7 linked regions of the Canis lupus familiaris genome follow. The protein of the gene in region 4 purifies or fractionates together with the protein of the main gene of each other region. This does not show direct contact. Links are inferred from orthologs where the notes say so. Each region holds a gene or a part of one and is shown on either strand. Other genes may lie near its edges.

The links.
Region 1: the proteins of RNF146 (region 4) and HLTF purify together in Homo sapiens (affinity purification with mass spectrometry; 4 studies listed by BioGRID and IntAct, with this or other methods). This does not show direct contact. The link is inferred for Canis lupus familiaris from reciprocal best matches to the Homo sapiens genes RNF146 and HLTF.
Region 2: the proteins of RNF146 (region 4) and XRCC1 purify together in Homo sapiens (co-immunoprecipitation; 3 studies listed by BioGRID and IntAct, with this or other methods). This does not show direct contact. The link is inferred for Canis lupus familiaris from reciprocal best matches to the Homo sapiens genes RNF146 and XRCC1.
Region 3: the proteins of RNF146 (region 4) and PARP2 purify together in Homo sapiens (affinity purification with mass spectrometry; 4 studies listed by BioGRID and IntAct, counting the BioPlex papers as one, with this or other methods). This does not show direct contact. The link is inferred for Canis lupus familiaris from reciprocal best matches to the Homo sapiens genes RNF146 and PARP2.
Region 5: the proteins of RNF146 (region 4) and PARP1 purify together in Homo sapiens (affinity purification with mass spectrometry; 4 studies listed by BioGRID and IntAct, counting the BioPlex papers as one, with this or other methods). This does not show direct contact. The link is inferred for Canis lupus familiaris from reciprocal best matches to the Homo sapiens genes RNF146 and PARP1.
Region 6: the proteins of RNF146 (region 4) and CHD1L purify together in Homo sapiens (co-immunoprecipitation; 3 studies listed by BioGRID and IntAct, counting the BioPlex papers as one, with this or other methods). This does not show direct contact. The link is inferred for Canis lupus familiaris from reciprocal best matches to the Homo sapiens genes RNF146 and CHD1L.
Region 7: the proteins of RNF146 (region 4) and LIG3 purify together in Homo sapiens (co-immunoprecipitation; 3 studies listed by BioGRID and IntAct, counting the BioPlex papers as one, with this or other methods). This does not show direct contact. The link is inferred for Canis lupus familiaris from reciprocal best matches to the Homo sapiens genes RNF146 and LIG3.

The regions. Positions count from the first base shown.
Region 1 is NC_049244.1:44,393,713-44,397,212, forward strand, and holds part of HLTF (helicase-like transcription factor), read right to left. Parts: intron 2,968-3,500; coding exon 2,842-2,967; intron 2,521-2,841; coding exon 2,408-2,520; intron 2,052-2,407; coding exon 1,871-2,051; intron 1-1,870. UniProt on the Homo sapiens protein: Has both helicase and E3 ubiquitin ligase activities. Possesses intrinsic ATP-dependent nucleosome-remodeling activity; This activity may be required for transcriptional activation or repression of specific target promoters.
Region 2 is NC_049222.1:112,263,822-112,267,853, forward strand, and holds the start of XRCC1 (DNA repair protein XRCC1), read left to right. Parts: upstream 1-1,232; 5' UTR 1,233-1,398; coding exon 1,399-1,449; intron 1,450-1,818; coding exon 1,819-1,911; intron 1,912-4,032. Other genes in the region: PINLYP (phospholipase A2 inhibitor and Ly6/PLAUR domain-containing protein), read right to left, coding at 26-95. UniProt on the Homo sapiens protein: Scaffold protein involved in DNA single-strand break repair by mediating the assembly of DNA break repair protein complexes. Negatively regulates ADP-ribosyltransferase activity of PARP1 during base-excision repair in order to prevent excessive PARP1 activity.
Region 3 is NC_049236.1:17,830,115-17,834,224, forward strand, and holds the start of PARP2 (poly [ADP-ribose] polymerase 2), read left to right. Parts: upstream 1-1,310; 5' UTR 1,311-1,320; coding exon 1,321-1,366; intron 1,367-2,664; coding exon 2,665-2,817; intron 2,818-3,094; coding exon 3,095-3,165; intron 3,166-3,756; coding exon 3,757-3,807; intron 3,808-4,110. UniProt on the Homo sapiens protein: Poly-ADP-ribosyltransferase that mediates poly-ADP-ribosylation of proteins and plays a key role in DNA repair.
Region 4 is NC_049222.1:66,568,566-66,571,438, forward strand, and holds the end of RNF146 (E3 ubiquitin-protein ligase RNF146), read left to right. Parts: intron 1-620; coding exon 621-1,698; 3' UTR 1,699-2,373; downstream 2,374-2,873. UniProt on the Homo sapiens protein: E3 ubiquitin-protein ligase that specifically binds poly-ADP-ribosylated (PARsylated) proteins and mediates their ubiquitination and subsequent degradation. May regulate many important biological processes, such as cell survival and DNA damage response.
Region 5 is NC_049228.1:38,477,305-38,480,804, reverse strand, and holds part of PARP1 (poly [ADP-ribose] polymerase 1), read right to left. Parts: intron 3,090-3,500; coding exon 2,847-3,089; intron 2,718-2,846; coding exon 2,649-2,717; intron 2,435-2,648; coding exon 2,302-2,434; intron 616-2,301; coding exon 420-615; intron 1-419. UniProt on the Homo sapiens protein: Poly-ADP-ribosyltransferase that mediates poly-ADP-ribosylation of proteins and plays a key role in DNA repair.
Region 6 is NC_049238.1:58,465,696-58,469,195, forward strand, and holds part of CHD1L (chromodomain-helicase-DNA-binding protein 1-like), read left to right. Parts: coding exon 1-92; intron 93-643; coding exon 644-849; intron 850-1,898; coding exon 1,899-1,997; intron 1,998-3,500. UniProt on the Homo sapiens protein: ATP-dependent chromatin remodeler that mediates chromatin-remodeling following DNA damage.
Region 7 is NC_049230.1:38,321,392-38,324,891, reverse strand, and holds part of LIG3 (DNA ligase 3), read left to right. Parts: intron 1-1,709; coding exon 1,710-1,865; intron 1,866-3,500. UniProt on the Homo sapiens protein: Isoform 3 functions as a heterodimer with DNA-repair protein XRCC1 in the nucleus and can correct defective DNA strand-break repair and sister chromatid exchange following treatment with ionizing radiation and alkylating agents.

The sequences.
Region 1 (3,500 bases), on a different chromosome or scaffold from region 4:
CCAGTATCTAATCCAGTGCCTGATATACAGAAAGCACACAGCATGAGTGCTTGTTCTGTAATCACATAGTATCTTTTCTTTCCATTTTAAAATTGATCTGTCTGCTTAACGGGGGGGGGGGGGGGGGGGGGGGGGTTATACATCCTCTTAAATGATTTATATCAGAAAAGATCTGTAATTTGCAAATTATATAATTTGCAGAAAAAGGTTTTCTCCCCTTTTGCTGGTCTTTTTCTTTCACTTTCTTCCTTATCAAGAAGCAAATAACTTGCGTATCTGTCCAAAAATCATCGTCTAAGATTACCCTCAGGTTAGTTAATATAACAAATACATGGCTACAATGATTTTTTTTAAATCTAACAATAAAATATTAAAACTCTAGCAAAGATTTAAAACTTCATTCACTGAATTAGTAGTCCAGAGTGCCTACAGCAATCTGTGCTATTAGAAAAAGGTACTGCAGGGATCCCTGGGTGGCTCAGCGGTTTGGCACCTGCCTTTGGCCCAGGGCGCAATCCTGGAGTCCCGGGATCGAGTCCCGTGTCGGGCTCCCGGCATGGAGCCTGCTTCTCCCCTCTGCCTGTGTCGCTGCCTCTCTCTCTCTATCATGAACAAATAAATAAATAAATCTTTATTAAAAAAAGAAAAAAGGGGCAGCCCTGGTGGCGCAGCAGTTTAGCGCCGCCTGCAGCCCAGGGGTGATACTGGAGACCCGGGATCGAGTCCCACATCAGGCTTGTTGCATGGAGCCTGCTTCTCCCTCTGCCTGTGTCTCTGCCTCTCTCTCTCTCTCTCTCTGTGTCTCTATGAATAAATAAATAAAATCTTTAAAAAAAAAAAAAAAAGAAAGAAAAAGGTACTGCTCCTCTGTGGTGCTTCTCTTAGGTCACAGTTTGGTGAGTAAAGTTCTACAGCTAGGCCTATAGTGTACAACCACAAGTGACAATACTGTATTAGATGCTAAAATTTATCCAAAATATTCCATTAATGGTACTAGTTTCTAAAACTGTGATGCTGGACCACCTGTATCTGAATCACCTATTACCTATATAAAAATGCTGCTTCTGGACAGCCCAGGTGGCTCAGCGGCTTAGCGCCGCCTTCAGCCCAGGGCATGATCCTGGGGACCTGGGATCGAGTCCCAGTCAGGCTCCCTGCATGGAGCCTGCTTCTCCCTCTGCCTGTGTCTCTGCCTCTCTCTCTCTCTCTCTCTCTCATGAATGAATGAATAAAATCTTAAAAAAAAAAAAAAAATGCTGCTTCCTGGGCCTCATCCAAGAACTCCTTAATCTCTGAGGACAGAGGTCAGAAATTACATTTTACCTAATTCTTTGCACATTAAAACTTTAGATCATTAGCATCATGATGGTAGCTACTTTGTCTACCTTATTTATAGCCAGATTCCTGGTGTCTCTAAGACTCCCTGACACAACGCAGGATTGTATTATTTGTTAGCCAAATGAATGAAACCACTACACCAAAGCATTACAGTTAATAGAAACTAATTCTATATACAGAGGTAGAAAATCACAGCACAGAAATTAAGAACATAGACCCTGATCCTGGTTTGCATTTTACTGTATGATATTGGGCAAGTTATTTTACTTCTCTCTGCTTCAGTTTCCTCACCTGTAAAATAAGGACAATAAGACCTCACAGGGATCTCTCACAGGAATATTATAGAGATACTGTGAGAATTTCAGTTGATATATGTCAAGTGCTTAAAAGAAAGTCCTCAATAAACATTTGTTATTATCTATTTCTAAAGTTTGTCTAAGAATTTTCAGTTACAACAATGAAGGTATTACCAAATTTATTAAAAAAAAAAAAAAGCTTAATAACATACTGAAAAGTCTACAGAACTACTTACTGGATCCATTAAAAACACTCGAGAAGCTGCAGAAAGATTCAAACCAACTCCACCTGCTTTTAAGGACAGAAGCATTATAGTTGGAGATCCTGCTTCAGTGTTTTGAAAACACTGAATTGATTCAACTCTTTTCTTCTGAGCCATGGAACCATCCAAACGAGTAAACACAAATCCAGAGGCTCTAATGGAGGGACAAAAGAGACAAGTAACACTTTACATACAATTTTTAAAATGTTAAGTAATTACAAATTTCTTCATTCAAACTAATCCTTCCACTCATTTATTCAACTCATTATTGAATATTTATTCAAATATTTGCTAACCATCTACTACCATGTCACGTTCTGAAGTCAGTTTTTTTTCTAATACAGGACTTAATCTTTAAAATTCTAGGCTCCCAGGAAATATTCTTTATTGTGACTACCATTTTAGACAGATGAAATGAATAGAACTGGTAGAACATTATTTTTTGCTCTCCAAATCAAAACACTTACATAAAATCTTTTTACTCACATTGAGAATCAATACTGAATTTACCTGAGCGGTGTTTCTATTAAAGACAGGAATGTTGTAAACTGAGAAACAACTAAACTTTTTATGTTGGGGTTCTTCTTTCTTAAGTCAATCAGTGCATGCATTAGAGCATTAATCTGAAAAAAAACATCAGGACACCCATTAGATTCCATTTTGAATGGGCAAAATACATATAACTTTTTTTTATTAGAAAAGAATGGTCCTGCCCCATTATTTCCCTAAAATGCAAAGTAGAAGACAACTAATGTTTTTAGAAATTAAGACGGAAAGAATACACTCAAACTGAAGTTCCTTGCCTCTTAAATCCACCACTATCAATAAAAATGTTAACACCAACCGAGTATTATATTCAAATGATAGGATTATAAGCAGAATTATTTTAAGATGTGGTATCCTTATATAAAATAAATACTCCAAATATCGTCCATGTGTATTACCTTCGAACTGGATGTCCATTCTGTATTAGACTTTTTCTCAGTGTCACATGCCAGTTCTTCCGGAGGACATTCTAATAAATTGTCTCCATGTATATCATTTCTGCATAAAGGACATTTAGCATGTGGCTATATAAGAAAAAATAAGATATAAGTTTATCCAAGAAACAAATATAAACTTCCCTACAATTTTTTAAAAGTATGGTAAATTCTATATCCTTAATAGCTAACATTAGACTTTTTTATTAGATTCATTCATTTGAAATAAATCTGTACACACTGAACTCCAAGCAGATGTAATATTCTTATGTGTTAAGTGGGACTGGGTAAAAAAGGGAGCATAGCTTATGGTATGTCATCTTGACAAACAGTAGGAATCCAAAACAAGTATTATAAAATAATTAACCCTTAAACATGGGTTTGAACTACAGAGGTCCACTTATATGAAATTTTTTTTCAATAAATACAGCACAGTAAAATAAATGGATTTCCTCTTATGATTTTAGTATTTTCTCCAGTTTACTTTATTGTAAGAATACCACATATAGGGATCGCAGGCTGGCTTAGTTGGAGGACATGCAGTTCTTGATCTCAAGGTCACGGAATGTAAGCCCCACATTGCATGTAGAGATTACTTAAATAAATAAAAACTTTAAAAAGAA
Region 2 (4,032 bases), about 46 Mb from region 4:
ATGGTCCAGACCCCTTCTCACTTACCCAGACCCAGGAGGGTGCAGAGCAACATGAAGGCCAGCAGGAAGGTCTCCGGTCTCATGGGAGTCCTCATGGTGAGTGAACCTGAAGTCCCAGGTCCCCAGCCCTTATAGGAAGCTGAGGAAGGGCGGATCCTCTGGATCCGCCTTCACCCTGGGGTGAGAAATAGCTGAGGTAAGATCTCAGGGCAGGTCTTTGTGGCTCTACATTGGGGATATGGAACCAGAATCCAAAAGGGACATGGGCATCTCATGCTCAGCACCTGCTCCACAGGGACCCCAGGACTCTTGACTTTCAGCACTTTCTTTCATCAAGACCCAGAAGGTCACTTTCCTGTTTTCTCACATTCCCACCACCTTCCTCTCCCCTTTTTGCTGGCCTGAAGCCCAAGGTCAGAGTTGGGTCACTTGATTCCCTGTAGGTATAGGGTGGCTGGTAGGACTGAGATCCCCTCTCTCTTTTTCCAGTAGTTGCCCAGCATGGGTGGGGCCCTACCTGGGAGTGCCCAGCATGTCCAGACTCGTTCTGCGGGGGACTAGGCACCCTGTGTCTCTTCTGTCTTCATGCACTTGGCTTATATTCCCTGTTCGGTATTTGGGCTGTCCCCAGCTCCGACCCTGCCTGGGGTTGCACCTCTGGGTCTCACGGGGACGGAACAGAGGGATGCTTGTCAACAGGCAGGGGCAGGCATGGTAGGACACATATGCCCACAGGTCACATATTGGGAAACTGAGGCATGGGTGGAAGCATTCTAGTTTGGGTGTGTGTATCTCGTTTGGATGCATGCTTTGTGCCTTCTTTAGATCTTTGATCCACTCTCTCCTGGCCTCAGGCATAAGAGAACGGAGATTTTGTTCGTGTGTGTGTGTGGTGGCGGAGTAGCGGGGAGGAGCGTAACTTCAGAAATCCCGTGTAGAGGACCCCGTAGCGGTACGCTCCAGGGTCCCTGCAAAAAAAAATCACTCAGGTTTGGGTCTTCTAGTGTTCTAAAGGCTTCAATTTGGGCGGTGACTGCGTCGTCCAATGAGAAGGGCGAATTTCTTTTAGGAGCCAATCCCGGAGCCCGCTCCTGTTGCCAGGCGCCGAGAAAGCAGAGAGTGAACGTCACCGGGAGGCGGGGCTAGAGCGCGGTGAGGGCCTAGGAGAGGCGGGGCCTAGGGGAAAGCCCGTTGCTAGGATACCAAGCGCCTCGCTCCGGAGAAGCGCGAACTGGGCTTGCGCGGCGGCGACGGGAGCGCCGGCGCGCCGCGGTTTGAAAGGCCCGAGCCCTGTGCGCTTGCGCACTCCAGCCCGCGCGGGGAGCGCTCCCCCCTCGACGCCCCCCAAGCTCGGACCTTCTTTTATCTCTGGCGCCAGGCGAAGCCCGAGACGTTGACATGCCGGAGATCCGTCTCCGCCATGTGGTGTCCTGCAGTAGCCAGGACTCGGTGAGGAACTGGCGTGGGGGGGAGGCTGGAAGACGTAAGGGAATCCGTGCGGGGGCGCTACAGGAACTTTGGGAGTGTGAAAGGGAACTTCACGGAAGTCCATGGCGGGTCGTGGGGGTTGTGGGGGGTTCCAGGAGGCTATCGGGGAATTCTGGGAGAGATAGGGGAGCTTCTGGACAGGAAAGGAGGAACTGGGGAGCATCCCGGGTGTTCCAGAGGACTCGAGGCAGGGTGTGGTGGGACTAACGGGGAATTTTAAATCTGGGGGAGCGCGGACGGCTCCGGAGGACTCAAAGGAATAACCTGAGAGCCGAGGACCGAGCTCGCTTCCCTGTACCCTTACTTTCCCTTTTCCACTCTTATCTCCAGACCCACTGTGCCGAAAACCTTCTCAAGGCGGACACTTACAGAAAATGGCGAGCAGCCAAGGCAGGCGAGAAGACCATCTCTGTGGTGCTCCAGGTGATCCTGCCCTCCCCCCGTCTGCTTCCTAAGGGGAGTCTGGAGACTCAGGGTCCAGTCACACTGCTCTTGAGCCAGCTGCCAGTGGGTTAGGACACTTTTCCCTTCTGGGCTTCAGCTTTCTTCCCTGGAGAATGGGCCGTGTGATGGCTATGCCCCTTAGCAGAGGACAAGGGTGGCCCAAGGACTAGGCCAGGATGACCTTAGGAATCAATGTATGAAAAAAAAAAAAGGAATCAACGTATGGCCTCTGGGTAGGTTGCTTCTGAAGTCAGTGGGCACAGGGCTGGAAGGGGTCTCTTGGAAGATCATGGAAACCAATCAATCCCATTTTAAAGATGGGAAGACTGAAGCAGAGTGGAGTGCAGGGGTGAAGTGGCCAGTCTCCGTCCGTTCAGGAATGCTTGCCGGGTTCTTCTGAGTGCTCTCACCCAGTCTTATCCCAGCACTGTGAAGGTGGAGGGAGGCTGGGAGGAGAAGGTGGTTTGACCCCATATGGTATGGAATTCGACGGGCTGTTCCTGTCAGGGATAAGAAACGGGTGGGAGGAGAGAGCTAAGCTAAGCGTTTGAAGCATCTGCTCTGTGCTGGGTACTGGCCTGGGTGTTTCATCTTCATGATCTCTCTTCACAAGTGTGGTGTGACAGAGGGGCCCCTGTCACCGTCAGTCAATGGCTTGCAGGACTCAGACCCACATTGGTGCTGTGAACCACTTTGTCACACTGCTTTGTGTTCACACACTGGCTTTCTTGATCTTGGTTCTATTCCTTACTTCTGAACGGAGGGGTGTTTGGGGAGGGATGTTGCAGGGCAAGGCTCACATGATTGTGTCGAACACATTCTCAATCTCTCTCTTGCCCAGTGGTTCTGAAAAAATTTGGAGTCACAGAGCCCTTTTAGAATTGGAAGCTGAGGATTCTCTCCCCAGGAAAAATACACAGACCTATAAAACTTTCTGATTTTAGAAATTTGAACATCTCCTCAGTCCCTAACATAGTAATAATAACGAGAGCTGACATTGATTTAACGTTACAACTGCCAGTTACAGTTTGGAACACCTCATGTGGATCAACTCATTGAATCTATAAAAACCCATGACCTAAGTCTAATAGTACCTCCATTTTAGAGATGAGGAAACGGAGTCCCAGAGAGGTTATGCCACTTGTCCAAGAGCCAGTGTTTTAAACTGAGGGTGGTACAAAAAAAAATACACACACACACACACACACACACACTGAAGGAGGTACAGGTTGTTCATGATTTAGTCTTGGGACCTGAATTCAAGTCCCCATCTCTCTGTCTTACTCATTCTGTGACCTCAGGCACATTTTTTCATTTCTTTAAACCTGTTTTTTCACCTGTCCATTGGGAATAATGAGATCTAAGCCAAGGGTTATTGTGAAAATGTGGTGACATAATGTCTGCAGAAGTGCTCTGTCAACACGTAGATGTTTGTGTAAAGGGAGGGATTCATGTGTTTATTACCAGGTGATGATTCTGCTGGGCTCTCTTAGGGATCAGGTGACCCCAGGAGGATCACATTCCATTCTCTACCCCAGTGGCAGTGAGAGCAGAGAGACCCGAGGCAGGAGAGACATGACACGGGGTTGAGGGAACCAGAGGGGCCAGAGCGAGCACAGGATTCTCTTGGCTGGGGAGACTGAGGGAGATATTGCAGCTGTCACTGAAATGGGAAACCCAGAGAAGGGGCAGCTTGAGAAGCTGACACCTTCAGTTGGGGTGTCCAGGTGTGCTGTGACTTTGGGACCTCTGAGGTCCACGTGGCAGTTAGGAATCAGAACCTGACCTGGATGGAGACAGACAAGTGGAAGTTGTCAGCACAAGGGCAGGACCGACAGAGTCTGGAGTGAATGGATTCTTAGGTTCCTTCATTCACTGAGTAATTATTTAGGAAGCACCTTCTCTAGGCCAGGCGCTGTTTCAGGTCCTGTGGACAGCACAAGACAAAAATACGTCAGTCCTGTGGAGCTTTCATGTTAGGAGGGAAAGACTGACAAACCAGTAAGTAAAGCACCAGATAGATGGTGAGTGCTGTGGAGGAAAATTAAACCATTAAGAGGAAAGGGGAATACTGCGGCTGGGGGAGGAGGCAGTAGCAAG
Region 3 (4,110 bases), on a different chromosome or scaffold from region 4:
TATTTGGAGGTAGAACCTTTAAAGAATTAGGGGCGCCCGAGGGGCTCAGCGGTTGAGCATCTGCCTTGGGCTCAGGGCGTGACCCGGGGGGTGCCGGGATCGAGTCCCACGTTGGGCTCCCTGCGTGGAGCCTGCTTCTCCCTCTGCCTGTGTCTCTGCCCCTCTCTCTCTCTCTCTGTGTCTCTGTGTCTCTCTGCCTCTGTCTCTCTGTGTCTCTGTCTGTCTCTGTGTCTCTCTGTCTCTGTCTCTCTGCCTCTTTCGGTGTCTCTGCCTCTGTTTCTTTTTCTGTCTCCCTGTTTCTCCCTGTCTCTGTCTCTGTCTCCCTGTCTCTCTCCCTGTCTCTCTCCGTGTCTCTCTGTGTCTCTATCTCCCTATCTCTGTCTCTGTGTGTGTCTGTCTGTCTCTCTGGCTCTGCCTGTCTCTCTCTCTCTCTGCCTCTCACTGTCTCTCTGCCTGTTTCTTTCTCTGTCTCCCTGTCTCTCTCTCTGTCTCTCCCTGTGTGTGTGTCTCTCTGTCTCTCAGGAATAAATAAGGGCTAAGGGCACCCGGGAGGTCAAGCGTGTGGCTTCGGCCCAGGCCAGGCGCGGCCCCACCCGGCGAGGAACCCCCTTACACACGCGCACACACATGCACGCACACCCCGCTCCTGCGCGCTCTCCTCGCTCCTCCAGGAGATAGTACTTCTAAAGTAGAAATAGAAGAAAGGAAGACTCAGACTCAGCGCGTCTAGGACGCCCCCATGCCAGGGCGGGGTCGGGGGGGCAAAAGCGGGCGGGGGAGAGTAGTCTGAATTGGGTTCCGGAGCCCCGCGGCCCGACGCCGGCCTGCTCGGGTGCCCCGGCCCAGCCATTGAACTCACCGTGCCGGCCGTGAGTCTATTCCAAGCCCCGGGGAGGGGGCATCCGCCGCGCGCGCGGCCTCTCCTGCCCGAAGGCCCTCTCCGGGGCCCGCTCTCTGGGAACTCACCCCCCCGCGCGCGGGGAGGGCCCTGCTAGGGCCGCTGCTGGCCCGAGTCTCAGACCTTCCCAGGGGCCGAGAGAGTGACGCGCACTCCGCGCGTGGCCCCACCGCTGAGCTTCCCGCCGCCCTGCGCAGCGCAGCCCTCTCGCCGCTTATAAAGTGCCGCCCGCACGGCCCTTCTCGCTCACGGCGACTTCCCATAACACACAGCAGCATGCAAATACCGCGGGGAGCCCCGCCCCGCCCCGGCCCCCGCACCGCCTCGGGACGCATGCGCCGGCGCTCCGTTCCCGCCTTGGGCCGGCGGCGGGCGGGCGGGCGAGCGGGCGGGAGCGGCTCCGGCGGGGACGAGCGGGCGCCATGGCGGCGCGGCGGCGGGGGACGCGCGGCGGCGGCGGGGCGAGAGGTGCAGGCGCGGGGGCGGGAGCGCGGGGCGGGGCGGGGCGGGGCGGACGCCAGGTGGGCGGGGGCGCCAGGTGCGGGGCGGGCGCCAGGTGGGCGGGGGGGGGCGCTCTCTGCTGCGCTTCCCCGCGCCCGCGTCCCGCCTCCGAGCTCAGCGGGTCGCGGCGTGGCTGCGGGCAGGGCCTCCGGTCGCTGGCACCCTCCTTCCCCAGCTGCCGTCACCGACTCCAAGAAGCCAGTCGGGGGGTGCGCGAATGTGGCATCGGGAGAGGCCGGACAACTCCTGCCCGCGCGTCACCCGCTGTACGATGCACACTACGTGTCACCCACCGTACCGTGCACGTGTCACCCGCTGTATGGTGCACGACGCGTGTCACCCACCGTACCGTGCACGTGTCACCCGCTGTACGATGCACACTACGTGTCACCCACCGTACCGTGCACGTGTCACCCGCTATACAGCGCACACTGCGTGTCACCCACCGTATTGTGCACGTGTCACCTACTGTACCGTGCATACGCGTGTCACCCGCTGTACCGTGCACGTGTCACCTGCTGTATGGTGCACTCTACATGTCACCCACCGTACCGTGCACGTGTTACCGGCTGTATGGTGTACGCCGCATGTCACCCACTGTACAGTGTACGTGTCACCCACTGTACCGTGCACACCGCGTGTCACCCGCTGTACAGTGCACACTGCGTGTCACCCACCGTACCACACACAGTGCGTCCCACTCTCAGATGTTGCCATCAACATTCAGGCCTCAGGGTTGGTGGGTACCATCCTCTCTCTCTTACGCACCTAAGTGCAGAGGTCCATCCTACAAATTCCGTATCATCGCTGTCAGCCTCTGGATTTTACAGTCAGGGCAACTGAGGTTCAAAGAGGTGACGTGACTTCCGCAAGTTCCCGCCGCTGGAAGGGAAGGGACGGGGCTCCTAACAGGAGACCGCAGAGCACTGTGTGGTTTGCCTCTGGGTACTGGGAAGGCTCGGGGCACAAGTATAAGAGCAGCGGGGACACTCCTGCCTCCCCTGCGAGCTCGAGCTCCCAAGAGCCCCGGGGCTCCATTTTACTTTGTTTAGGTTTTTGGCTGCAATTGCAATTTAGGAAGGGATTTCCCCAGACTACCACCAGGACCAGCGGCTTGGCAGTTCTCATTTCTTTATAAATTTACGAAGCCGTCCTGGACCATTTCTTTAAAAAGATGATGTTTTCTTCAAAGTAGGACCGTGTTCGGGGGTACTCATTCCTCCCTTTGGTTCTTTGCTCACTTTTCGTGCCCGTGGCTTCTGCAGCATTCGACAAAGCTGGAAGAGTTCATAATGGCAACACGGCTGGAGAAGACCCTCCTCCTGCAAAGAAAACTCGGAGATGCCAGAGGCAGGGGGTGAAAAGGGGGCCTTTGACTGCAGGAGGGGCCGGTAATGGCAGCACGGAAGACAAGCCAGGTCAGCTCCGGGCGGTGGGCCCGCGGGAGTGCCTCCGGGAGAGGTGGGGCGAGGGACGCCTTGTCCTCTCCACTCACGTCTTCCTTTCCTGAAGATGTCACTAGTTTCCTATCCTGTGGGCGAACCACAGTGCGCCTCTCCTGTCTCCGAATCTTCGGTTTTGTGTCGTTTAGACAGATTGACACCTGGACAGATGGGGATTGCTCGGGGAGGACAGAGTTCATTAGGACACTGATTCCCACACACATAGCTCCCATATGTGTCTGTCTTCCCCCAGAGTCTGTGAAGACCCTGCTGTTAAAAGGCAGAGCTCCCGTGGACCCCGAGTGCGCAGCCAAGGTGGGGAAGGTGAGACTCCTCGCCCCTCGGTTTCTCAGCGCGTGTTCCCGGGCTGCTGGGACTCCTGCCCCCAAGCTGCTGGCATTCAGTTCGGAGCCCTCGCCGAGATACTCCTGGCGATGACTTGTCTCCAAGGCTAAGAGAGGGGAGCAGGGGAGTCTGGGGCTAATAATCCACATGTCTTTGACTTCTGGGGTTGTCATCAGCTTTCCACGCTTCGTTCTCGTTCTCGGAAAATAATCCCGTTCTCAGGGAAGATCCATCTTTGTTCTAATGAGAAACTGCCCTGCTCTGGCACGGGTCACTGACGACTGTGGAAAGGCTTTGAAGAATACACAAGAAAGGCTTCTTTTGGAGCAGGTTTCCTTTAGCCATTAGAATCCTTGGTTTTTCTATAATTACAAAAAAGCAACATGTGTTCATCATAGGATAATCATAGCTAATGTGTAGAAGACCTAGTGTGGCAGTTCCTTCCCCGGAAGGTGGATATTGGTAGTGCTGGGGAATGACATGTTGAGACACAAGAAAATCTAGAGCGTCATGGAGGATTTCATGAAGCCTGAGGTTACGCTACCATCAGTTTTTTCCTTCTCTCCCCAGGCCCACGTGTACTGTGAAGGGAGCGATGTCTATGATGTCATGCTAAACCAGGTAACGGGGGATGCCTGGGTGGCTCAGCGGTTTGGCGCCTGCCTTTGGCCCAGGGCACGATCCTGGAGTCCCGGGATCGAGTCCCACGTCGGGCTCCCGGCATGGAGCCTGCTTCTCCCTCTGCCTGTGTCTCTGTCTCTCTCTCTCTATCTGAATAAATAAATAAAATCTTAAGAATATATATTTTTAAAAAAATAAACCAGGTAACGGGAGGAGCTGTTCTACGTATGGGGATTTTTTTCTTGGTAGTTACTGATGACAGGGTCCCGATGCCCAGATCTTTGATTCTGAGGTCCCTATGTC
Region 4 (2,873 bases):
CCTGATCAAGGGAAGGTCTGGTGGGGATGAGGCTGGTATGGGGGCTGAGGAGCGGGACCACTGCAGGACACAAACATCCTGGTCTTTATCCTGAAATCAACTTTTTAAGCAGGAGGTAAGACTGGAACAATTTAAAAGGCATATTCAGGCATTTAATGAACACTGTTTACTGGATGGCTAGGGCAGAGATGGACAGTAGATGGATTCAGGAGAGTGGGATCACATTGGTAAGACCTGCTGATGTTTTGGATGTGAGGAGTAGGGGAAGGGCAGTGTCAGTGATGGATTTCAAATGGCTTGAAAGAGCAGATGGATAATGTTATCCCTGGGGGTGGGGAGCTTTTAGGGAGTAAATAAGGAGGAAACAGATCATGAGTTTATTTTTGGCTTAACATTTGTGCTTCTCATTGCTCCCCACAAGTAAAAATTCATGACAGAAAAAAATCAAAGATTTTTCTGCACAAGTTAAATTCTTTTTCTTTTTTGTTTTCCCATTTTCCAGTGTGTAGCACACATATACAGTAGGTGCTTAATAAGTGTTTTCTGAATTGTTGAATTAAGAAATTGGAAGAGTTGAAACGCAGTTTTAATGTTACGTGTATCTGCTCTCCTTTTCTTAGGATGGCTGGCTGTGGTGAAGTTGATCACTCGATAAACATGCTTCCTACGAACAGGAAAGCGAATGAGTCCTGTTCTAACACTGCGCCTTCGCTCACTGTCCCTGAATGTGCCATTTGCCTGCAGACCTGCGTCCACCCCGTCAGTCTCCCGTGTAAGCATGTGTTCTGCTATCTGTGTGTAAAGGGAGCTTCATGGCTTGGAAAGCGATGTGCCCTGTGTCGACAAGAAATTCCTGAAGATTTCCTTGACAAGCCAACCTTACTGTCCCCAGAAGAACTCAAGGCAGCAAGTCGAGGAAACGGTGAATATGCGTGGTATTACGAAGGAAGAAATGGGTGGTGGCAGTATGACGAGCGCACTAGTAGAGAGTTGGAAGATGCTTTTTCCAAAGGTAAAAAGAGCACTGAAATGTTAATTGCTGGGTTTCTGTATGTTGCTGATCTTGAAAATATGGTTCAATACAGGAGAAATGAGCACGGACGTCGCAGGAAGATTAAGCGGGATATAATAGATATACCAAAGAAGGGAGTAGCTGGACTTAGGCTGGACTGTGACTCCAGCACGGTCAACCTAGCGAGAGAGAGCTCTGCCGACGGAGCGGACAGCGTGCCAGCGCAGAGTGGAGCTTCTGTTCAGCCCCTGGCGTCTTCTGCGAGGCCCCCAGCATCGGTGGATGGTCCCTTAACAAGCCCTGCCACGCCGTCCCCGGATGCGAGCACTTCTCTGGAAGACTCTTTTGCTCATTTGCACCTCGGTGGAGACAGCATAGCTGAAAGGAGTCACAGGGGGGAAGGAGAAGAGGATCACGAGTCGCCGTCCTCGGGCAGGGTCCCCGCACCAGACACCTCCGTGGAGGAGACCGAGTCCGATGCCAGTAGTGAAAGCGAGGAAGTACCTGCGCTTGGTGCACAGCACTCCTTGACCCACCAGAGACTTTTGGTTCCTAGTGTAAACCAGACAGTATCTGATAGATCAGATCGATCGGGGACTGATCGACCAGTCGCAGGGGGTGGAACAGTGAATGCTGGTGTCCGGTCTAGAAGACCTGATGGCCAGTGCACAGTAACTGAAGTTTAAATACGACAGTCTTCAGCTCCAGGCTCAAAGTTAAGGCAGCGCTCTGTAAATTTCTGCCCACGTAACATACTCGTCCCTGGTAGTGCGTTGTTGGGAGCTGGGGGGGGAAGGGGTGTGGGGAGGACAGACCTGTAATTAAAATGTCTAACGTGTCTCTGTTGAGGAATTTATTTAATATAAGGAACTTGGCGTTAATAGTTGAGAGCTGTTTAGTAATAACCCAGTTTTCTTGAGGTCTGTTTATTTTATAGTTTTTAAAAGTTTCTTCAGTTCCTTTGGCCAGCGTGTGTGTATTATCTGTGCATTAACAGTCCTCATCTGACTCTTGCATTGTGTCTTACTTTTCTGCATGGATTGACGTAAAACCATTACTAAAATCTGGCACCTCTGAGGTGTCTGGTATCGGTATGAGCAGGAAGCTTAATGTGAGAATAGATGTGAATTCGGGATTTTAAAATAGATGAATAACAACTATTAAATAGTAAAGTTACCGAAATGGAAGTGTAAAGAAAACAGCTAATAACTCCTGTTTCAGAATCTTGTCTGTAACATACTCCATGGCATTTCCCATAGGCTCTGCTGTCTGGTCCTTGTAGTTTGAGGTTTCTCTTGACCTGCATTTTTCTTTTTGATTACAGAATTTATAATTTAATAAATACTAGAGTTTACCAAAAATAACTTGTCCGTTGTCTGAGTGTGGAAAGAAGATGAAAACATTTTGACATTTGTGGCCAAAGGTCAGTAACCAGGTGGTGATTTGAATCGGTTGTGCTCAGCTTATTCAGCTGCTCAGAAGCTTGGTTTTTTAACCGACTCCACAAGCAATTGCGTGCAATAAATACGTATGGAAGTAAACCTAACGCTCGGGGGACCTAGACGTCTGACGTAACTGGTAACAGGCACCACGCACCCTGTAGACTGTCATTGCCGGCCACCATTAGTGGCTTGACGCTAATGAATCCAACGGTAGGTTTATTTATAAACAGCATTAGTAGACACAAACTTAAAACGTAAAATCTGTGGCAAAATAAGTCTTGGATTAACTTGGTGATCCCGAATTTGGTTCCGAAAAATGGTAATGTTTGTCTTAATATAGTTTAACTCAAAACCGTAGGATTGTGTTGAAGCGTATGCAGGTTATTTTTAATGTTTTTCAAATGTGAATTAAATGTTAC
Region 5 (3,500 bases), on a different chromosome or scaffold from region 4:
CATGCGCTTTCTATCTGTGAGGATGCCCATGTGATTTGTTTACTATATTCTTGCTGCAGTGCACCGGTTTCTGCGTGTTGGGCTGACCTTGCATTCTCAGGTATTAAATCCTGTGCTGCGCCCCATTAAGGACTGTGTCTATGACCCTACGGACACTGGAGTTGTCCTACCGTATCTCTGGCTTTGGTGTCACAAGCCTCACGTTTGGTAGCATTGGCCTCACGTCACAAGCTGGGAAGTGTCCCCCCACCCCCCCGACTCTTATTTGTGGGAAGAGTTTCAGAAGGATCAGTGTTAGTACTTATTTGAGCATTTGGAACCATTTACCAGAGAGGCTGTCTGACCCAAGGCATATTACAGAAACTCTGGCACCCATTGCTTTTGCCAAAAGCAGATGATGGAAGAAGCTAAGTGATTACCTGGCCATAGTCAATCTCCAGAGGGTAGAATTTTTTGGGATGCTTCGTGAAGTTCTTGGCGTGCCAGGCATTCCCAGTTTTCTCTTCATACAATTTCATAAAGTGCTCGATGGCTTCCTCCTTGGACGGCACCTGCTCCAGTTTGTTGCTGCCAATCACGGTGCCCACACGGCCCCAGGACCGAAAGATCCAGTACCTGTGACAGGGCGTGGAGGGAGGGTAAGGATCAGATACAAACTGTGGGCTGGCCACTCACATCTCGGGAGGTTTCTCTTCCCTGCCACTCCACTTGGAGGAGAAAGAGCTTCAACCCCCAAGATGCTGACTGATACAGAGAACAGAAAAAAACACTGTAACAAAGGACTTTTGCTTTTGATGGAACTGAGGAGTAGAACTTTAAAGAAAGCCCCTTCAAATTTCATCATCGGTGAATGGGCCCTAGGACATGCCCAAGAACAGGTTACACTGCCATCTGGCAGGCAAGCTTGTGGAGTGAACCCCGGGGCTTATAATAAACTATAACTTTATATAAACACCTGATTTCACTCCTCAAAGAAATACAGTAAGCATCATTTGGCAGTCCTGTGCTCAAGAGATGCAACCGTTAGGGACATGCTTGAAAGATTCTGAAGGCTCTGGGGCTCAGCTCAGAGGCTGAGATGTGACAAGCACTGGGTGTGTGTGTCTGTGTGTGCACGGGGGCTCGTGTGCACGTGTGTCAGCAGCATGGAGGCTGAGCCCACAGTGTAAGGCCACCATTCTCTGTTCCCATGTCAACCTGGGGTACACACCACAGGTACCCGACAAGCTGTGCTGCTTAGTTTTTTTTTTGGGGGGGGGGGGGGGGAGTTCGTCTTTCTTAAAATAATGGAAATAATGTATAAGCTGAGTTTTAAGTCACAATAAGATGGTATCAGAACCTCAGACACAAGATTTATTTGTATGCATTTTTTTTTAATTTTTTTTTTTTAATTTTTATTTATTTATGATAGTTAGAGAGAGAGAGAGGCAGAGACACAGGCAGAGGGAGAAGCAGGCTCCATGCACCGGGAGCCCAACGTGGGATTCGATCCCGGGTCTCCAGGATCACGCCCTGGGCCAAAGGCAGGCGCCAAACCGCTGCGCCACCCAGGGATCCCATGCACTTTTAAGAAAACCAAAGAATTTAAAGAAGATCTAGGGCTTCCTGGAGGTTTTCTGGGTTCTTGCACAGAGATTCAGAAACGCAATCCCTGCTTGTGTTTTTCCCTGGAAAGGTCTGGGAGGTGCTTTCCCCAACTGTCCTGAAGAAATGTCCAGATCTGAAAGCCCATGCTGCCCCTTCAGTGAAAACCAGTTAAAGTGGGCCACCAGAGCAGATGATAATCCACATGCTGGAAGGCTTATTTCTTCAGAAAATCTAAGTAGCCTACTAGATAGTTTGGACCCTCAGGGTCACTTCTGAGCCACTTTCCAGGTGAAACTTTTGGTGAGAAGTAGAGGCAGTGGGAAGAACCAAGCCACCCACTGCTTATAGATAGCCGCTGGCCACGGTTTCTTAAAAGGGCTGAGTTGGCTCCCACAGGGCCACCGCTACACAGCTTCTGCCTTTCAACTAACTCCTGGACTTCCAGTGGGGAAAATTTCTACTTGCTAACAAGAAACAGTCCAGGTTAACCCACAAGTTCTGGTCCCACCAAACTGTACCTCCAAACGTGTGTACAGGGGTCAGACACTCTGGATTCAAAGGGCTGTTAAGAGTCCTGGGAGATGGTGGGACAAAACACACCCTGTGAAGCTGGGGGGCCAGACTCTAGGGAACCAGGCCTCCCCACACCCCTCTCGGGCCTACCCCCTTCACGGGGCCACCTCGCAGGCATTCCGTCCTGTCCCCAGAACACACCTGCTTTCTTTGTCATCCTCCAGGAGCTGCAGCTTGTAGTAGGAGTTGGTTCCCTTCACGATGTCTACCAGGCCTAGGGTGGCGCTGAACACTTTACCACCTTTCTCCAGAACATGTGCAGAGTGTTCCAGACCTGTGGAAGAGGCAGGGTGCCCTGTTTTAACTCCCATGAGGGGCCAATGCACTCTGGGAGAAGGAGGTCTGCAGGCGGTAAGGGGCGGGGGGCTTTCACACCCCCAGACACCATACTGCCAGTCAGATGACGCCCAAGAGGTAGGAGGGCACAGGTGCAGCCTGGGCACCCTAGTCTCTTGACCACCCATCCACTCCCGCTCCTGTGAGCTCACCTGAATCTGGATCAACAGCAGCACCACCTTTCAGAGTTAATTTCATTCTCTTCTCAGATTTGTTGACGCCTTGGAAGGGGACAAGAACTGTAACTGCTCAAGTAAAACAGAACTAGGAAATACGGGTGGGGTGGAAGGCAGGGCGAGGGAGCAGTCTGCCAGCATCCACAGACCATCTCAGGAGTTTGTGGGCCTCACCTTCCTCCTTGACCGGGCCCTTGCTCTTCTTGGAGAGCGCAGCTCCTGATTTGGCTTTAGGGGCTGCAGGCTCTGCTGGCTCTGCCTTCACCTCAGCCCCCCAGGGAGCCAGCACATGGGCGGAGAGCAAATCCTGAAGGCTCCTGGTGGAATCAGACACGTCCCGGAGAAAATCCTCAGATACCACTCGGATGCTGGCCTCTCTCACCTCCTCCATCTTCTTGTTCATCTTCTCCACCTCCTCTGTTCAAACCAGGGGAAGAACGGCCGAAGCATTAACTGTGAAGTAAAGCCAGAGCCCTGCTGACTGAGCCTGAGCCCCTCCTTGTCACCTAGTGCTGGGGGCCCATGTACAGTGCCGCCTCCTGCACACGGGTCTAGGCCTGTGGGCAGATGCACCCCAGAAGAGGAGCCACCTGCAGCCCAAACGGTAGGAAAGTGCTCGACCCTGCACCTCCCCAGGGCATCCCCAAGCACACAACAAGCAACTGGTTGCCCCTGCTCTGCAGGATGCCCCTTAATTCTATGGACAATTTCCCTTACATGTGGAAGCATTCTAGTTTGATGTGGTCCTGTTGGTCTGTTTTTTTTCTTGGGTGCCAGAGTCAAAAATCACCAAAACCAGGGTCAAGGAGCTCACCGTCTATTCTGTGC
Region 6 (3,500 bases), on a different chromosome or scaffold from region 4:
AGAAGGAAGAAGAGACAAGAAGCAGCAGCTAAGAGAAAGAGACTAATGGAGGAGAAAAAGAGGAAAAAGGAAAAGGTGGAACACGAGAAAAAGTATGTATTATTCAATGATATTATAAAAAAGCTGGTGAGGGTCATGTTTTAAGGATACACTTAATCTGCAGTTGAACACTTTAAAATTGCAGTAAATTTTTATAAAACTGGTAGCTCCTTCTGATAATAGAATATTTTTTTTTAAAGATTGAACTTTAACCCTAACAATGTACTTTTGCAAAATGTCCTGAGTGCCTAAGGTAGAAAGACTTATTCAGTTGAAGTGAGAAGATGTTAAGATTTTATTGTAGCTGTCTGACAAAGAGTAGTTCACTTGAAAGTACCTTAATCTTGTTCTTAAAAACAGGGACATCCAAAAAAAAAAAGGGACATTTGGTGGCTGCTCTTTATTGAAGTATAGTCAGGAGGCAACTAGGCTAGTCAGTAAGACTTCTTGTTGATTTACAAATGAGCAGAATACTGCAATCAGGGTGACTATCTAATTGCATTTCCACTGGGCACTTGGTGTTTGTGAATAGCAGGATGGAGTATGCTCTGAGGGAAATTGTGATAGGCCAGGTTAATTTCCTTTTCTCTCTGGCCTGTTGAAGGATGGTGTGGTGGGAATCCAACAATTACCAGTCCTTCTGCCTGCCTTCCGAGGAGAGCGAACCAGAGGATCTAGAGGACCAGGAAGATGAGAGTTCTGCCCAGCTGGATTATGAAGATCCAGATTCAACTGCCATCAAGTATGTTAGAGGTGATGTCACCCACCCACAGGCTGGGGCAGAGGATGCTGTCATCGTGCACTGCGTAGGTAGGAGAAGTTGTACCGGCCCAGGATGGGTGCCTTGTTCTTTATGGTGCTAAGAACTGGGGAGGAGGAGGCAGAAGCCTGACCAAGGGGTGGTTATGGGGCCTGACCAAGGGGTGATTATGGGTCCAGTGCAGTCCTGCGGTCAAAAGGGGGCACGTTTTAGAATCCAGCAACATAGATTTGACTCTTGGTGCTCTCCTTTAACTGGTTGCATAGCCTAATCTCCTGGGCCTCAGGTTTCTTTATTGGTACAGTTGGATAATTTCCTGTTCTCTGCACAAGGTGTTTAAGAAGGGGGAAGAGACATCTTTTGAGAAAAAGTAAAACTCCAAGCATGTTCCCCCCACTTCTGTGATCTTTGCACTTTTTACTTCCTCTGCCTGGATCCTCTTTCCACAGAGAGCCACAATAAGTATTGTTTAAATGTCTGCATCTCCGATCTCCCCTAAGTGCCTCACATAAAACAGACCCCACCCCCATGCTTCTATTATTCTCTACCCTTTTTCCTACCTTATTTTACTTTATTACATGTATCACCACATACATATTATGTATGTGTTTGTTTCTATTATTGTCTCATTGCACTGGAAAATAAACTTGATGGGAGCAGGATTTTTTTTTAATCCACTGTTGTAACACTAGTTCCTAGAACAGTGTCTGACACATAATACATGCTAACAAATATTTGTAGGATGATTGAATGACTGTAAATAGAAGGTACTAACCAGCTATGTTAGTAGCAGCTCAAATAAGTCATTTAACATTTTTTCTTCCTTACCTGTAAAATGGGAGTTGTATGCTATTGTATTACCAATGCTTTAGTTGTTGTTATGTTACAACTGCTTTCCATCTTTCCTATTATGATAGCCAGGTGTATTCCATAAAACCTAAACATATTTGAGAAGTCTAACCCGTGGTATTCCTGGGAGGCCACATAGGTGTTTCTTCCCTTTGAAAAACCATTCTCCTACAAATCTAGTTGGCATACTTTTTGTGTTTTTGAATTGTGAACTGGAATTTGGATGTTTTTTGTTGTTGTTTTCTATCAGATGATTCTGGTCGCTGGGGCAGAGGTGGTTTATTCACAGCTTTGGAAACACGGTCTGCTGAGCCAAGAAGAATATATGAGCTAGCTGGGAAAATGAAAGGTAAGAATCAAAGCAGAGAAAAGGGGTAGGAATGGAATAAACGAAGAGAGAACACAGGATAGGTATCACATGGGTTATGAAACATTAAAGAGTTAAGAGAGCTAGTTTGGAGTCTCATTAGCTAGTTTTATCATCATTAAACTAGTTTTGTGACTTTGAGGCAGTCTCTTACTCTCCCTGTACCTGTTTCCTCATTTGTAATTTGTGAATAGTACTTGTTCTACCTACGTCATGGGACTATAATGAGGAGAGTGGATATACAGGTGTTTTGATAATGTCAATCCCTGTGTGCGTGTTCAAGTATTGGCATGAAGAGCATTTCATTGTTTACCTCCACTATGACCAACTCACCCCATCTACATAAGGGAATATTTCCAAAAAATGTCAGACCTGTAGGAGAGAAATCAGACCCACCATGAAAGTGCTAACAAGAGCTCAGGTTGAATGTTGAAGAGGAAGAGGTTGTCTTATGAGGTTAGTATACGCTGAGATACAGCACTTCTTAGAGACAGAAGTAAAGATGTTTGGGGCCAGAGGAACTTGGAAGTCTCCTTTGGCATGGAGAAGGAGAAAGGGTACCTTTTATGTGGAAAAATCACAAAGTAGCAAAAGGAGTAAAATTACTATTGTCATTATTTCCTGGGGACTTGAGAGGCCAAGGGAGTTTGTTCAATAGAGAAGAGCCCTTCAGATTCCTCAGATTGGTTTTCCCTAATTCTTCTGCCTAGTTCTCTAGGGTAGAAAGGGATATAAGGACCTAGAAGGAATACTCTTTCTACTAAAATAGCTCACTGACAGAAGATTTAATAGGTTAAAATAACTGAGATCTAGATATTGATTGGGCAGTGGGAAAGCAGAGAATTCAGGACAGATCAGAGCTAGACATCAAGACCGAGGAATGCTTGTTTGGATCCTTGTCTGAAACTGTGAAGGAAGCAGGATGGGAAAATGAGAGGCCAGAGAACAAAGCATGGAAAAAACCTCCACTTAAGAGAAGCAACAAGAAGAGGAGACAGAAGGAATTGTCAACTAAGAGAACCTTGAGAATGAAAGAGGAGAGGATGTCAGGAAGGTCTGCATTGTCAGGCACCAAGTGAGGGTGAGAACTGAGAAAAGGCCTTTGGATTTGCATGACCTTGGAGAGGAGACTGTGAAGATTAAACCTACATTGCAGAGTTAAGGTGTAAGTGTCAATGACAAAACAGGGTTGAGAGGGTACGTTCTTTTTCTGAAGAAGAACTGAATTAGGGTAGATGAAAATGTGGGCTAGAATTACCAGGGAGTGCTTTGTGGAGATAGTGAAAGTAATCTTGGGCCTGGAAAGATAGGTTGAATTTAAGTGGGTGGAGAGAAATGGAAAAAGACCCCTGACTATGTCTCATACTTTTTGATATTCCCGCAACTCCTGTCATTCCCAGTACAGGGTATTGAATGACCCAGGCAGTTACATGGTGAATGTGTTTAGGGAATGGTGTGTAGGCCAGGCAGGCCAGAGGAGGGGGT
Region 7 (3,500 bases), on a different chromosome or scaffold from region 4:
CTTTGTCCAGATGTTCTAACCTTCCCTGTGAGATCTGGGAGGGTATGAATGTCGGAGGAGTTTGGGTCAGGCACAATGGAGATGCAAAAGGGTATATCTCAATGGGTGTATAAAGGTGAAGGAGAAGACTGTGGTCTGGTAGAAATGTCTGAACTTGAGGCCCAGCTCTGCCGCCAGCAAGCTGTAGAATCTGGAATGAATTACCTAGCCTTTCTTGGTTTTTCATTTCCTTGCGTGAATTATGTATGAAACCATCTGAAGCATCTAGTTAGAATCCTTTTTCAGTCATCTTTCCTAAAGATAGGTGGATACATTAACTCCTAAAGTTCTGTGACCTACCCCAGAGTAGCTCTGACAGTTATAGTGGCAGAGCCAGGCTTCCTGTGACACAGTGACTTGACCTCTTTCTTCTGGAAACAAGCCTAAGGAATGAAGACCAGGTCTGACTTGGTATAACATGGGAGCCCTGGGTGGCTCAGTGGTTGAGCATCTGCTCAAGATCATCTTGAGCCTCTGCTCATTTCATGAGAAGTAGGATTTCCTATCTACATTGGTTTTTCTGGGCAGTGGGACCCTCCCCAAATGCCATGCCTAGTGAGAGCCTTGGGGTTGCTCCATTGGGGTGCAGTGCCTTTCATGAGCCTGTCTTGTGACATGTAGTCTACAATATAGACTACAGCCTTTGGTTAGGGTTCTGTGTTTGGGATGGGGAAGTGTTTTCTCTCTCCCGGAATGTGGCACGGCCAGCACCAAAGTAGTGAGCTCTGCATCCCAGGGACAGGACTCAGATCACAGTAGTGATCTTTCTGACTTTCATACGAATTCTTCTTGGAGTCTGTTGTACAACCTGCCATTTATTCAAAGAGTGTATAGGTTAGATAGTTTCGTGATAAACTACACAGGCTTTGGAGTTGGGCCTAGCATCATTCCTGCCCCTCACTTGCTGTATAACTTGAAGTGAGGACTTCTAATGCTCTTCAAACTGGTTTTCTCATCCATAAAATGAAAACTGTGTCTATCACATAAGATGATCTGACACATACAGACACCCCCAGGATGGTAGTGGTTAGGTTGAGTCTGGATGGCACTGGTATGTGCAGAGGCACTCTTGTGGCCTGTCCTGGGGCTCTCTGACCACTGCTACCATGCCAGCCTCTCTGTCGCCTACCTCTCTTTATCTTCCCCTCTACATATCTCCTGTGCTGAGGTCACTGCTGTTTTGGGGGATTTTTTTTTAAGATTTTATTTATTTATTCATGAGAGACAGAGGCAGAGACACAGGCAGAGGGAGAAGCTGGCTCCTCTTAGGGAGCCCGATGTGGGATTCGATCCCAGGACCCTGAGCCAAAGGCAGACACTCAACCACTGAGCCACCCAGGCATCCCTACTGCTGTGTTTAATAGGAAGCCAAGGCCCTGCAAGATCCTGAATTACTGAGAAAAAAAAAATGAAATACTGTTTCAGTGGAATTTTATTTATTTGTAGTCCCCAAAAGCCCAGCTCCTGTTTTAGCTGCAGTGATGCTTATAGTCCAAATAAGCACTGCCTAGCCTTGTACATTTCCCCCAGCTCTTGAGCAGTCTGCCTGGAGGGTATCCTGTGGTCAGCAGGCCTTGGGACCTGGACTCTGGGGCTGTCATGCCCAAGCAGCCCCCAGTGAAGAACACCTATAAGTCTCCAGGCTTTTCTTTCCCCTTCCCCCTCCCAAGGCCGAGGCCTGCAAGTCCATCGAGCATGCGATGAAGAAGTGTCCTAACGGCATGTTTTCCGAGATCAAGTACGATGGGGAACGAGTCCAGGTGCATAAGAACGGGGATCACTTCAGCTACTTCAGCCGCAGCCTTAAGCCTGTGCTGCCTCACAAGGTACAGGTCCCTTCCTCTGCTGGGACCATCTCCCTCCCTTCCCCTAAGAACCTCGAGGCTGTGGTTCTGTAGTCCTTTCAGCTCTGGTATGCAGTAGAGTTTCTTTTGTATTTGTTGAATGAATGTATGTATTTTTGGAGTCTTGCAATGAAGGGCTGCTCAGTGGGGACACCCGAAGATCCCACACTTGGGTTAGCACAGAGCCCCAGGGGACGGTGACATTCCCCTTGCCCACATTGATGCTGGGACCATGAGCTCACCTGGCAAGTGACTTGCAGTGCTTGTCTTCTGCGTTTCCATGTCCTGTGTGCTCCACGAGTGAAATTACAGGTTAGGGACAAAGAAGCTATTGGGCTGTCCTTCATGAATTTGATAAGCCTTTACTGAGTGCTTAGTCTGCGCTAGGTGCTATTCTTGATAGTGGATGTACAGCAGTAAAAAAAAATGGACAAAAGTACTTGCCCTCCTCCCCCGCCAGAAGCTTACATTGTGATGTAAACACAATCCAGTGGGGACATCTGAGAGCACAGACTCCTGTCCTTTATTAAGGGGCTTTAAGAACCTTGCCCCTGAGTCCTCAGCAGCCAGGGTTTCTGTGAGCTTTGGGGCACTCCTCAGGGAAAAGCTGCTGGGATATCTGGCCCCAGTAGCCTTTGAGTAGAGGGGACTCTCTGTGCTTGCTATGCCTTCTCTCCCAGGACAGACTCCATTTTTCAGAGCCCTGGGGGTGGAGGAGATGTGTTGGGTGGCTCGCGTGCTTCCCTCACCCCTGCCTCCCTGCTGGAGCACCGGGCATTGGGCCATTCATTTCAGATATGCAGAGGAGGGCTAAGCATTGGCCTCCCCAGGGAGATTAGTGCAGACTCACCGGCTTGGTGGGGCCCAGTAACCTTGTCCAGGAACTCTCCTGGGTTGCTGCTCAGTGGGCACCTCTGCTACCTGGAAGAGGTTTGGGCCCAGCTTTCAGAGTTCTAGACCTTTCCTGACTCTCTCTTACCAGTTGTCCCTTGTCTCTCCTGTGCTTGGGGGACAGTTATACAGGCCTCCTCTCTCCCCACTCCAAGCCCCATAGGTAGCAAGTGTGCTCTCCGGACCTCACTGCTGGTATCATGTGGCAGGGGCCACCCTCCGTCACAGTGGGACTACTCCCTGTCTGGAACTCTCAGAGACTAGGGATCTGCCTGTATCAGGAAAAACTCTGATTGCAAACGTCCTTTCGTACTGTTCTGAAGATGGCTGCGGGTCCCAAGCTCCCACCCTGGAGAAGACCCTTCTGTTTCCTTGTTGCTCCTAAGAGGGTTCATTGCCTCCTTTCCATCCATCTTGTCATAACTCACCTGTTCTCCCCACAGGTGCCTGCTGCTTGAACTGCTGCCTCCCTTCCACAGGTGTCTGCCCCTACCTCCTCCTCCACATACCCAACTCCCTGTTTCTTCCTTTTTCCTCCAAACTTTCCATCATGGCCCAGAGTGGCTCAGCCCAGGCCGACCTCTTCCTGGGTCTCGAACACTCTCTCGAACTGTCGTCTCAGTGGTGGGTAAGGCCTAGGTCTGTTCTGGACCTGAGTTTGGCTTCCACGTGTTGGTGTTCTGTGTTCCTTCTGGGGCCTGGCTCTTGCGTTCTGGCCTGGCTTTA